Linked DNA regions of Oryctolagus cuniculus. The protein of the gene in region 3 binds, or shares a complex with, the protein of the main gene of each other region. Links are inferred from orthologs where the notes say so. Each region holds a gene or a part of one and is shown on either strand. Other genes may lie near its edges.

Evidence for each region. The genes of interacting proteins can lie anywhere in the genome.
Region 1: the proteins of cyclin-A2 (region 3) and GMNC are in contact, whole or in part, in a cryo-EM structure (PDB 9HIU), measured with the Homo sapiens proteins. The link is inferred for Oryctolagus cuniculus from reciprocal best matches to the Homo sapiens genes CCNA2 and GMNC. Residues at the interface, in NP_001228.2 of Homo sapiens: Met210, Ile213, Leu214, Asp216, Trp217, Glu220, Val221, Glu224, Arg250, Leu253, Gln254, Tyr280, Ile281, Thr282, Asp283, Thr285; in NP_001140158.1 of Homo sapiens: Asn165, Ala166, Lys167, Arg168, Asn169, Leu170, Ser171, Glu173, Phe174, Ala175.
Region 2: the proteins of cyclin-A2 (region 3) and CDC6 are in contact, whole or in part, in a crystal structure (PDB 2CCH), measured with the Homo sapiens proteins. The link is inferred for Oryctolagus cuniculus from reciprocal best matches to the Homo sapiens genes CCNA2 and CDC6. Residues at the interface, in NP_001228.2 of Homo sapiens: Met210, Ile213, Leu214, Trp217, Glu220, Val221, Glu224, Tyr225, Arg250, Leu253, Gln254, Glu277, Tyr280, Ile281, Thr282, Asp283, Thr285; in NP_001245.1 of Homo sapiens: His89, Thr90, Leu91, Lys92, Gly93, Arg94, Arg95, Leu96, Val97, Phe98, Asp99, Asn100.

Annotation. Positions count from the first base shown.
Region 1 is NC_091435.1:88,641,314-88,645,666, reverse strand, and holds the start of GMNC (geminin coiled-coil domain-containing protein 1), read right to left. Parts: upstream 2,837-4,353; 5' UTR 2,499-2,836; coding exon 2,496-2,498; intron 883-2,495; coding exon 708-882; intron 1-707. UniProt on the Homo sapiens protein: Regulator of DNA replication. Promotes initiation of chromosomal DNA replication by mediating TOPBP1- and CDK2-dependent recruitment of CDC45L onto replication origins.
Region 2 is NC_091448.1:22,183,959-22,187,958, reverse strand, and holds the start of CDC6 (cell division control protein 6 homolog), read left to right. Parts: upstream 1-1,164; 5' UTR 1,165-2,979; exon of another isoform or gene 2,980-3,023; intron 3,024-3,052; exon of another isoform or gene 3,053-3,072; intron 3,073-3,632; 5' UTR 3,633-3,645; coding exon 3,646-3,823; intron 3,824-4,000. UniProt on the Homo sapiens protein: Involved in the initiation of DNA replication. Also participates in checkpoint controls that ensure DNA replication is completed before mitosis is initiated.
Region 3 is NC_091435.1:65,355,075-65,359,010, reverse strand, and holds cyclin-A2, read left to right. Parts: upstream 1-1,348; coding exon 1,349-2,206; 3' UTR 2,207-3,386; downstream 3,387-3,936. UniProt on the Homo sapiens protein: Cyclin which controls both the G1/S and the G2/M transition phases of the cell cycle. Functions through the formation of specific serine/threonine protein kinase holoenzyme complexes with the cyclin-dependent protein kinases CDK1 or CDK2.

The DNA.
Region 1 (4,353 bases), about 23 Mb from region 3:
TTTTTGTGTCTTTTCTTAGAGCCTTCTCCCAAGAAATCATGTGGAATCAATAATACCAATGTTTATTTCTGAGGCACCTGAAAACTTTTCCAAAAACCTGATTGTTAAGACAGAAATTCTATGAAAGCTTACAAGTATATTTCCCTAGGCAACAGGTCAGAATTAACAGTGTATGTAAATTCCCATCAATTTATACATCCCTTCAAACTTGAAATGATTTTTCTATGAAGAGGAATCATTTTATTTTTTCATTTACAAGGAGCTGTTCATAGAATTTCCTTTGTAAAATAGTAGATGAAGCTTGGCTTTGTTCTTGGTTTTCTCTATTTAAAAAAAAATAACTTTCTTGAATTCACCTTAAAAATGCTCCAACTAATATATTCACTCTAAAATCACCCTGTTAGGTACTGTTTATAAAACTTTGACCCAGACCCAAACTCCCTCAGTGAATTGGGAATCCCCAAGAATTTTAAAATATAGAGAAAAATACATGGTGTTCTAGCAAGCCAAGGGATAGAATCCCATTTTTATTCATTGTCAAGAACAAACAATCATATTTATAGCTGCGAAGTTCAGGAGGCTATGAACTGACTTAAATTTTCCATATCATCCCTTCTTCTACAGGATCCATAGCCCATGATGCATTGCAGTTACGGGCACTGGAAAAGGCTCCAGATCTATGAGGAAAGTAGAAGAGCACAACTTACCCTGTGCCTGTGGTGCTTGTTGGGGCTCTCTGTTGTCCAGGAGACCAGCAGCCCAGAAAGAGACCCAAGTCTCCGTGGAAACGTCAACACTAGATTCTGACGTTGTAGCGGAATACGGGCAATTATAGCTCTGGCCTCCTACAAAGTACTGATCTTGGCAAGGTAGAATGGTGTTCTGTGAAAATCAGTATGAGTAGTGGTTGTGAGGGTGGGGGTCCCAGGAGATAAGGTGATGGGGAAAAGGGTGGGAGAAACATGGAGAAATTACATACAGTGAATCAAAAAAAAAAAAAAAAAAAAAAACAGTGAAAGCATTAAGTGCAGATTTGGATCAATTTTTGAGTTGTCAAAGTAAAACCACTAAGTGGGATCAGCTCCTCAGTTTACCCAATACTTTCTAATGCCCTATGAGCAAAGAGCAGACTGGTATTGGAATGACCACATGTGTAAATATCTAAGAAGATTCTTTGTTGTGATGCCTCGCTCACCTAACAGGTTATCCACAAGCGAAGACAAAAGAATTCTACTAACGATTTAAAGACACATGACTTGTTCTCTCCTAAATATCTCAATTATATTTATAGTAACCTTGACTAAAAAGGAACCCAGATTCCCAAGGATAAAATGGACAAGACATAACATCATATAGACTAACCTCCTCATTTTAGTTGCTGAACCATATACTTACTAACTTGTGTGATTCTTCTCTTCTTCCTTTCTCCACCCAACATACTACTGGATCTACCTCTGATACAAATATGTCTATATTTTCTCCTCCCAACTCCAAATCCAAGTACAGGGGGCATAAAGTCACTCCAAGTAAGCACATAATCAAAGCTGAAGGAAGTCAGATGTCCGCAAGTGCTAGCTGTCTACTTCACTAGGGCCCAATGCCCTTCCAAAGTTATATCACCACAGCTAACAGACTGGCATGTATTATCCACTTCTTTCTGATCCACTGAACACCCTCCTGTCCCTCTTCTCAAACCTCAAACACAGTCTTCCCAAATGTGCAAGTAGGGGCAGGTACACAGCAGTCCTGGGTTAATCTGTACAACAGCCCATTCTTAATTATTTGTCAATGTTTAGTCAGGTAAAAGCCATTCACTTCAGCAGAGCCTAGTTTTGAACACACCTTTTTTGACCACTACAAGTCTTTTGTTGATTTTTGGACTTTTCTTGGGAATAACATAAATCGAAGAAACAAAAAAGAAGAGGAAAAAAATATTGTCAATTAAATCACAGTTTTTAAAAGTTCCCAATGAGTTAAATTTTCAAAAAGTCCAATTTTGAAGCCAGTCCAGCTTGGGCACTGCATACCGAAGAAATTCAGCCAAAAGTTTATCAAGAGGTATTTTCTTTTATTCTAAAAGCATGTTTGCAGACTCCTTCCCTGAGGTTATTATTGGAATCAGTTAAGCTATTATGCAATTGACACCTGAGAAGAAAACAAACCCTAAATACTCCTAGAGTAGTTCAAGTCCAAGTGTTTGCAAATATGTGCATAATATAGAGGAAGAGCTGGAATGAAAAGTGAGTGCAGGTGGAAAGTGAAAAGTGGGGGGAAAAAGTACGGAATGTACAAGAAGCAGAGAGGGTAAAACGATGAGAGACAGAGGGAAGAGGAAGGACAGTAAAAGCCAGCGGAGCAGCACAAGACCTGTTTGAAGCAGCAGGTAGCAGAGATACCTTGCTCTCAAAGTGAAATAAATTCTAAAAGCAAAGTTTATTAGCTTTCAGAGGCCCCAGGTTTCCCCAGGGACTAGCTAATGCCAGCTCCTCACTTACCATGTTGCAGTGGAAGAAGACGCGGCACAAACTGAGCCCGCTCTTAACTGTTGCGTTAAAGCCAGTGGGAGATGTAAATGGGACCGAGCGGGAGGACCTAGGAGAGACGAGTTCTAATCTGTGGGAGCTCCAGGTGACGCGCGGGACTCCGGGCAAGCGCCGCCCTCTGATTTGGCGCTAGGCTGTCAAACTGGTGACGTGGGTCAGGAGACACCCAACAGAAGCCAAAGTCATTCGTGCTGAGGGAGACCACCGCGCTGGAATTGCGGGTCAGGGCTCCTGGCTGTGGAGCAGAGGCAGGGTCCGCGGCGCCCAGCATCCGGGTGCGCAACGACGCTTCCAAACCCGCACCTGTGCACTCTCATAGTTTACCCGGCGATGGGCGTCGGCGGCGGCGGTGACCGCGCAGCCCGCCCAACCCGGCGGCCCTGAGCTCCCTCCAGTGCCTCCCCTGCAGCCGCTATGAAGGACTGAATGGCAGGTTGGCCCTGATGCCTGGGAGTAGGGTCAGGAAAAGCCCAAACTGGCTTCTTGGGGATCAGGGCGATCACTGCGGGATTCCACCCAACGGACCCCAGTGTTAGTTTTGCGTCTGTGTATTTTCTGACCACGTGATAAATCAATTTCAACTTGCAGTATAATGCTCCAAATGAATATTCCTCTCCCCCTCCATAGGGTAGGTCATATTTTCCCCAATTCCTGAAGTGGGTGCTAAATGGGAACCTGACATATTTGAGTTCTATGAGGTAAGCTTCAGGAGAAAGGCTATCTGTTCACTGAGCTCCCCAACACCTTGGGGAACAATCTTGGACACACGGTAAGTGCTCAATAAAGATTTTGACTTTTTTTTGGTAAGAATGAATTAAGTTACAAATTTAAGAATATAGAATATCTTTCTTTATATGGAGGCTACCTTTGCAACTACTATCACCTAAGATAATCTAATTAAGAAAAAGTAGCATATATTAGCATTTCTCAAAATATTTTATTTTCTCTATCTTTTTTGTTACATTTTATTCTCACAACATATCCCATCCTGTTATATGTAGAAAATAAAGAAGAGTAACACTATCTTTAAAACCACACATCCACCAATAATAGGCAATTCTTATTTCAACTTACCAACTTGATGGGCATTTGGCAATGACCCTGGGAGGCAGGCACTCTTACTGTCCCTGTCACACCAGATAGGGAATGAGGCACTGAAGTTAGGAAAATTGATGAATCTCTACACAATTAGGCAGTGACAGATTTAGCATTTGATCCTCTGACTATCGCATACATTCTCCTAACTAGCATGTATATGGTTTTTGACTCTGGATTTTTTACACTGAGCATGATAGCCATTTAGGAAATAGGCATTTTTACAGACTGAGTTTAATTTCCTCTCAAATTCATATGTTGAATCTCCAAACCCAGTGTCACTGCATTTGGAGATGGGGCATTTAAAGAAGTAACAAAGCTTAAATGAGGCAATAAGGTGGATCCAAAACCCAATGAGACTGGTGTTCTTATGAGTGGATGAAGGTACCTCAGGGATGACACACCCAAAAGCCATATGAGGAAACAGGCTGAAGGCATCCTTTGGGCTGGTAACACAAAGCTTCAGGAGGAGCCAACAACCCTGCTAACACCTTTTTCACTTTCTCATGGATTTCCATTCTCCAGAATTGCAAGACAATTAATTTCTGTTAAGACAACCCAATCTGTGGTATTTGTGTCATGGTAGCTCTGACAAACGAATATGAGTACTTCAAAAAGTTCATGGAAAGTTAGTCAAAGGATAAGTTTATATTATCACAAAAATGTTAAAATTCACAAATAGTTCTTTTTTCCATGACACGCATTTTCCATAAAT
Region 2 (4,000 bases), on a different chromosome or scaffold from region 3:
GGACACTAGTTTGCTCACTCTAATTACTACTGAAGCACAACTGCTTTCCGTGAATGTGCCTCTTAAGTATTTCACACCCATTCCAGCCATGAACTCTGACTCACTGGGAGGAAGTTGCATGTCTTTGACATCATCATACTCTGCAGACAGAGGCTAACGAACTGAAATGTAGGGGCGGGTGTTGTGATGTAGCAGGTTAAGCTGCCACTTGGGATGCCTCCATCCTGTATTGAGGTGCCTCGTTGTGAGTCCCGGCCACTCTGCTTCCAGTGGACCTTCCTGCCAAGGCACCTGGGAGGCAGCTAATGATGACCCAAGTACTTAGGTTCCTGCCACCTACATGGGAGATCAAATGGAGTTCGTGGCCTAGCCTCAGCTGTTGCAGCCATTTGGGGAGTGAACCAGTGGATGGAAGATATTTCTCTCTGTGTCTTGCTTTCTTTCAAATAAAATAAATAAATCTTTAAAAAGGGAAGGGACTAAAATGTCAACTTCAGGATCCCAACTACCCCAGACCTTGCCTCAGTCTGAAACATTTTACACAGAACTCATTTCCACTTCTAGATGTAGGGGTGTGAGATTCAAAGGATGGCATTTATGTTTATTGTATACTTTACACTGTACCAGGTACCTACAATTTGAAGAGTAAGACATGATCTTTGCCTCCAAGAAGCTCATGGTTGAATAGATTTCAGGATCGCTACAAGGAGAAACATATGGTGGATTAAAAGGCTTTTATTGGGAGTTAACCAAAGAAGGATGGTGACATCCTAGGCAGGAAACATCAAAAAGCACAGAAGTAACAGCATGATGATGTGCACATCATGTCATTGGAGGGTCAGTTGTGGAAAGAAAGCTTCCAGTGGATAACTGCTCAGACCTTTCTGTGGTTCTGTGCTCTGTCAGTGGTCATTTACTCTTGCAGGGTTTGGGCCAGTGCTGTAGTCCCTGGCATTTTCATAGGTTCAAATATGTGTGGTAAGTTTTAAATTCCTGTGCTCCTCCCACCCCCATAATGAGGTAGGCTGTTCACTGCCACCAACCCTTAACATGGGTTGGGCATACATTACTGTTTCAGGTTATCAAGGACAGTTTTTAGGGTCCCAGCTTAGAAAAGTGAAAACTACTTCCTGGGTTCTATTGTCCTATTAAGAAAAAAAAAAAAAAAAAAAAAAAAAAAACCTTAAGGGTTAAGGGCCTGGCTTAGTGGTACAATGCCTTCAGCTACTATCTACAACACTGCATCCCATAGGGGCACAGTTGGAGTTTCAGCTGCTCCACTTCTGATCCAGCTTCCTGCCTACAAAAGCAGTGGAAGGTGACCCATGTACATGGATCCCTGCCACCCATGTGGGAGACCAAGATGAAATTCCAGGCTCCTGGCTTCAGCCTGGTCCAGCCTGGCTGTTGGGGCCATTTGGGGAGTAAACCAGCAGGTGGAAGGTTGATATCTCTCTCATCACCCTGCCTTACAAATTAAAAAAAATTTTTTTAGAAAAGCCTAAAAGACAAAAATTCTATGGTAGCTTTTTCTATTCATGGCAGCCTAATCACTTTTCACTTGCATAGTTTTCATCTGCCGGGAAGCCGTCGCAAAATGTACTCCGTCTCTTCCTCTTCAAAACCTGCATTTGTCTAATGCTCTCCTTATGATTAAGTGGTTAAGAATTTGAATTCCCATCAGAACTTAAGAGTTCAAATTTTAGTTATTAATTTTATGTTCTCAGGCAAGTTTACTCAAATCTACATGGTTTCTTCGCTCTGCTTTGGTTTCCTCGTTTGTTAAATGAAATAACATCAACTTCGTAGGGTGCTTGTGAAGATTCATGAGGTGGTGGATCCACATACTGAGCTCTGTCCCTGGAATACATGTAAGCACTCGATATTGGCTGTACTATAAGTACAGTCGACTGATGGTTTTAATATTGTTGCCTTCCTATTTCCCGGTTTTATAGCTATTTTATCTGATATTGAAGGATAAAAGATAAATGTTTACCATCACCTAGAGTTGGGTTTTCTCGCTTTTAAAGGAGTTTGAGATTTAGAAGGGTTATTAGCTGTGAAAGCTGGCCTACAAATTACTGCTCTAATTTAGATTTTTCATTAAAAGCTCAGCTTGCCTCTTCTGTAATTGTCTTTCTTGGCCCTGAAACCCTAGTGTTTAGCCATAAAAGGTTTTAAGAATAAGGAGCCATAATTTTACTTCCCACAATTAAGTGGTGGTTAAATAATACAGAAAATCTAACACAAATTTTCTTTAAATAAAAGCAAAGAGTCCCATTTACCACATTTGAAGTCAAAAGATGTAGTGATGAAGTCTAGTATGTTCTTTATATAGAACTTTACCAAAAAAGCACTCGTTCAGATGTCGGGAGATCCCAGTCTTAGGCAGCCCCTGCTACCAACATGCTGTGACCTCTAACCCAGAGCACAGGATTTGCTTCGTGCCTTGTAGGGTGGAGCGTTAGAGAGGAGTCATGCCTCAGCTCAGAACCACCCCCAAAATAGAAGGCGTAGGTGAGCAGGGACAACCACATTGACTCCTCCCGTGCGCACAGCGCGGAAGTACAGTGCCCCAAGCAAAGACTACCCCTCCCGGCGGGCTTTGCGGCGTGGTGGTCCCGCCCAACGCCTAGCGTCCCACCGCAACTGCGCGGTTTCCGCGGAAGCCCCGGATGTACGTGCCGGGCCTTCTTAGTGGGCGTGGCCTCTCGGCCTGAGACCTGGGGCGCTCTTATTGGCTGTGATGTTTCTGATTGGCTTGGATAACGAAGGAAGAGGCGGAGGCCAATGCGCGCGGCGCTGTGGCTGCAGCCAATCAAAGGCGTAGCCGGGCTTTGGCGGGAGACGGGAACGGTGTAGCTGAGCGAATTTGGCGCGAGCGCGTCTGTATTTTGCTGCCTGCTGGTGTTCGGTTTGGCCGGGAACGGTGGTGGAGTCTGAGGCGGTGTGTGAGGGACGTGAGGAACCTGCACTGAGGTGACGCAGCCCTGAGAGAGGAGAAGATTGCTCGGGAGACTGAGGTCTGGGGAGCTGCGCGAAGGTTGAGGTTTCCGCGAGACCCGAGAAACAGTGAGGGGAAGGGAAGGGAGATCGCGGGAGATCCGAAGTCGGGGCCGGGGCGGGGCGGTGCACCCTCGAAGTGGCTCTAGCAGTTGTGCGTGGTGTGAGGGAGCTGAAGCTGCGGACAGGAAAAGTTCCCGGCTGCGGCTGAGAGCAGGGTGAGAGGGGGCTGAAGGCGGACGGACGAGCGGCGGTGCGAGGGCTCCGGAGACCGTGCGGCGGCGGCGGCGGCTGTGGGCCACCGGGGCCGGAATCCCGGGGTTCCGTGCGTGTCGGACTTTTCGGCCACTTGGGCTTCTGTGCACCTCATTTCTTATCTGCTGGATGAGGATGATAATAGGGCCTACCCCTCGGCGAGCGAGTTAGTACGTAAGGAATGCATGACAACGTGTTACACAACACAGGGTAGCTGTTACCACACAGGCTGGGATGTGGAGCAGAACTGAACGTTTTCATAACATTGTTTGCTTCTGAAATGAGTGCTGATCATCGGTATAAGCGAACTCAGGGTTAGGTATTTTTCCTTTTCACATGTTCACTGGCTGACGTGTTCTTTTTTTTGTCTCTAGCAGTATTGCCATCATGCCTCAAACCCGATCCCAGGCACAGGCTAAAATCAGTTTTCCAAAGAAGAAGTTTTCTCGGACAGTAGACAAAAGTAAAAACCCTGGTGACGTCAAAGTAGAACCAGCAAATGCGCACACTCTGCCCTCTTCTCCTTGCACAAAAATTCTGCCTCTGAGCCCCAGAAAACGTCTGGGTAAGTTTAGATAAGTGCACCTCTTGGACTGGTAGCCCTCAACCTTTTTCTCAGTGATAAGATGCCTGTCCTTCAAAGGAGCTTTTTCAGTTAAGACTACTGTGTTCATTTTAGTGATTTCCAGAATATTTGCTAAGTGCTTACTGAACTACAGGGTTAAGCCACTCATTGAGATCA
Region 3 (3,936 bases):
TTGAGGTGCCCCTCTCCTTCCCTGCTGGATGGATGTCCGAGAAGACCAAATACAGAGTTACGACTTCAGCTAATCTTAAAAGTAACAAGGCAAACCATCCCCTGAAAGTGTCAGAGAAGCCACATGGGGATCAGTAATGAGGCAATTCTTCCACATCCAGCCTGAGTAGTATTAGTAGGTACATAGTGGAGAGTCTTGTCTTCTACTACTGCCCCACACTTATAAAGAGTACCCCTTCCCCAGTGTCAATGGAGGCCAAGCTGCTGATAATAAGATGATGTCCTTTCCCCATTGGAGTAGCGTCATAGGATCCTGCCATATCAAATATTTAAATGAGATCAAATGTCTCACAATATTAATCACTAATATATCAAGAATTTAATTTTAATAATCACTTATGTTAAAAGGAAAACTAGGCTATTCTCAATTAGAGTGAGAAAACATGATCTAAAGATGTTGACACTCAGGGTTGTCTAACAAGGATTTTGTAGACTCTACAATAAAAATACTTCCACAATAATCATGAATATACTTGGAACAAATATAAAAAACATAAAGTTTTAGCCAAAGAAAAGAATATATAAAGAAGAAAATATATTTTGAAATAAAATATTCAATAACTAATATTTTGAAAACTCCATGAATGGGCTCAACAGTGGAATGGGAGAGAAAGAGGAAGCAATAGTGAATTGGATTTTTTTTTGCCCTCCGCGCCCGGCAGCGTTTGCCTGCGCCTCTCGCAACCTCCTCGATCCTGCGCGTTCCGGAGACAGGGGAGCGAGCGGGAGGGCTGGCAGACTGGCCCGGGCTGCGGCGAGGGGCTACGGCTGGAGCGTTCCTGGGCGGGATCGGCGCCGCTGGTCGACTGGGCGGAGTGTGCACGCTGCTTGGCTCGGCAGACTGATCCCGCCGCCAGCTCCCTGGAGCAACGATGTTGGGCCACAACGTGCCGAAGCCCGCGGCCGGCGAGGCGGGCTCGGCGCTCCTAGAGGACCAGGAGAACATCAACCCCGAGAAGGCGGTGCACGCCCAGCAGCCGCGGGCCCAGGCTGCTCTGGTGGTACTGAAGGCTGGGAACTCCCGGGGTCCAGTTCCACAACAGAGGCCCACGACGCGACGGGTTGCACCTCTTAAGGATCTTCCTATAAATGATGAGCAGGTCTCTGTTCCTCCTTGGAAAGCAAACAGTAAACAGCCTGCATTCACCATTCATGTGGATGAAGCAGAAGAGGAGCCTCCCAAGAGGCCCACGGAATCTAAAAAAGACAAGCCTGAAGATGTCCTGGCTTTTAATTCAGCCATCACTTTACCTGGACAAAGAAAACCACTGGTACCTCTTGATTAGCCAATGGATGGTAGTTTCGAGTCACCATATACTATGGACATGTCAATTGTATTAGAAGATGAAAAGCCAGTGAGTGTTAATGAAGTCCCAGACTACCATGAGGATATTCACACATATCTTAGGGAAATGGAGGTTAAATGTAAACCTAAAGTGGGTTACATGAAGAAACAGCCTGACATCACTAACAGTATGAGGGCTATCCTCGTGGACTGGTTAGTTGAAGTAGGAGAGGAATATAAACTACAGAATGAGACTCTGCATTTGGCGGTGAACTACATCGATAGGTTTCTTTCTTCAATGTCTGTGTTGAGAGGAAAGCTTCAGCTTGTGGGCACTGCTGCTATGCTGCTAGCCTCAAAATTTGAAGAAATATACCCACCAGAAGTAGCAGAGTTTGTATACATTACAGATGATACCTATACAAAGAAACAAGTTCTGAGAATGGAGCATCTAGTTTTGAAAGTCCTTGCTTTTGACTTAGCTGCACCAACGGTAAATCAGTTTCTTACCCAATACTTTCTACATCAGCAGCCTGCAAACTGCAAAGTCGAAAGTTTAGCAATGTTTTTGGGAGAATTAAGTTTGATAGATGCTGACCCATACCTAAAGTATCTGCCATCAGTTATTGCTGGAGCAGCATTTCATTTAGCACTCTACACAGTCACGGGACAAAGCTGGCCTGAATCATTAGTACGAAAGACTGGATACACTCTGGAGACTCTTAAGCCTTGTCTCATGGACCTTCACCAGACCTACCTCAAAGCACCACAGCATGCACAACAATCAATAAGAGAAAAGTACAAAAATTCAAAGTATCATGGTGTTTCCCTCCTCAACCCACCAGAGACACTAAATGTCTAACAGTGAAAGACTGCATTTGTTTCTAAGATGTAAATCACTCAAAGTATATTGTGTACAGTTTTTATCTTGGGTTTTGAATGTTACAATCATTTCTGAATACAGAAGTTATGGACAAGAACAAATTATGGTATCTATTACTTTTTAAATGGTTTTAATTTGTATATCTTTTGTACATGTATCTATCATAGATATTTGGCTAATTTTAAGTGGTTTTGTTAAAAGTATTAATGATGCCAGCTGTCAGGATATTAAGAATTAATAAATTGATTTGGAAAATTTTATAAGTCAAATTTAATTTGAGATAAAAACCTGACTTCAAGATTTCTTAGAAAAGTTACCTGGCTTATACAGTACAGTGGGGAGTGGAAAGCCACTCTCTAAAAAGTTGACTTTAGGAAAACAGACCCTCAATGTTCTAATATCCATTTTCCTAAGCAACTGGATCAGTCTGCCGATTTCTGCACAATAAATCTGTGCTTATTTACCAGTACGATGAAAATCATTCTTCTTTGTACACACACAGCAGCCTATCAGATTATTTTATTCCTCATCAATTTTTACACTTTACACATACACAGGTTGGGGAATAAGGCTTTGAGATGACAAAATTTTCAGAGAAAAAGCTCTAGAACATTCACTTTAATGTTAAAAAAATAAAACTTAGGGATTTGTGAATAAATGATACCCAGGTTGTTAGCACTGAATAAATACATCTAATAGTTATATATACAAATATACAACTATGTTAGCTTTAATTAGCAGCTCTCTTCTTTTTTCTCTTTTTCATTGGCTTTTTACTTGGTGCTTTTTCTTGTTTCCCAATGGTGGTCTGTGTTCTGCGGATAAAGTAAAATAAATTAACAGTTCACTTAATTATGCTTAAGTTTTGGATCACTGAAATAGGAGGTCTTTTATTTTTTTGCACTAGGGTACAAAATGTGACAGCAGGAAAAGTAAATACAGTAACCCTGAAAGGTATCCAAAAATAGTTTAATAGAGAGTTAGGTGCTAATTTTTATTAATTACAGGGTGAAAAAAACACATAATAGCTGATGAAAAAGGGATGTCTGTGTATAACAGTTCTGTAAGATGAGAGTCAAACCAGAGAGCAAGCCTCAAACTCTTAAGTTACATGTACATGTTTGAAATAAACCAAAAACTTGTTACCTTAAAAAAAAAATAGTGAATTGGAAAACAAATCAATAGAAAAATTACCTACATGGAACTAGCATTGTGGCACAACATATTAAGCGACAACTTACAATGCTAGCATCTCATATCAAAGTGTAGGTTCAAGTTCCAGCTGCTGTTCTTCCAATCCAGCTCCCTGTTAATGTTCCTAGGAATGCAGTGGATGATGACCCAAGGACTTAGGTACCTGCCACCCATTGGAAAACATGATGAATTCCTGGCTCCTGGCTTTGCCCTAGCCCAACTCTGAATATTTTGACCATTTGATGAATAAACTAGTGGATGAAAGATCCCTATATATATTTCTTGCTCTTGCTGTGTGTGTGGGTGTGTGTGTGTGTGTAGATCTGAGAGAGAGAGAGACACAGAGAGAGGGAGACTCACTCTCTCTGTCACTCTGCCAATAGAATAAATAAATGAATAAATATTTTAGGAAAAAAAAGAACCAATTTTAACAAAAATATAAAAGAAAAAATAATAGGAAAATTTGAAACCATAGCAAAAGATATAATATCCATAGCATTCATAATATCCTGGAA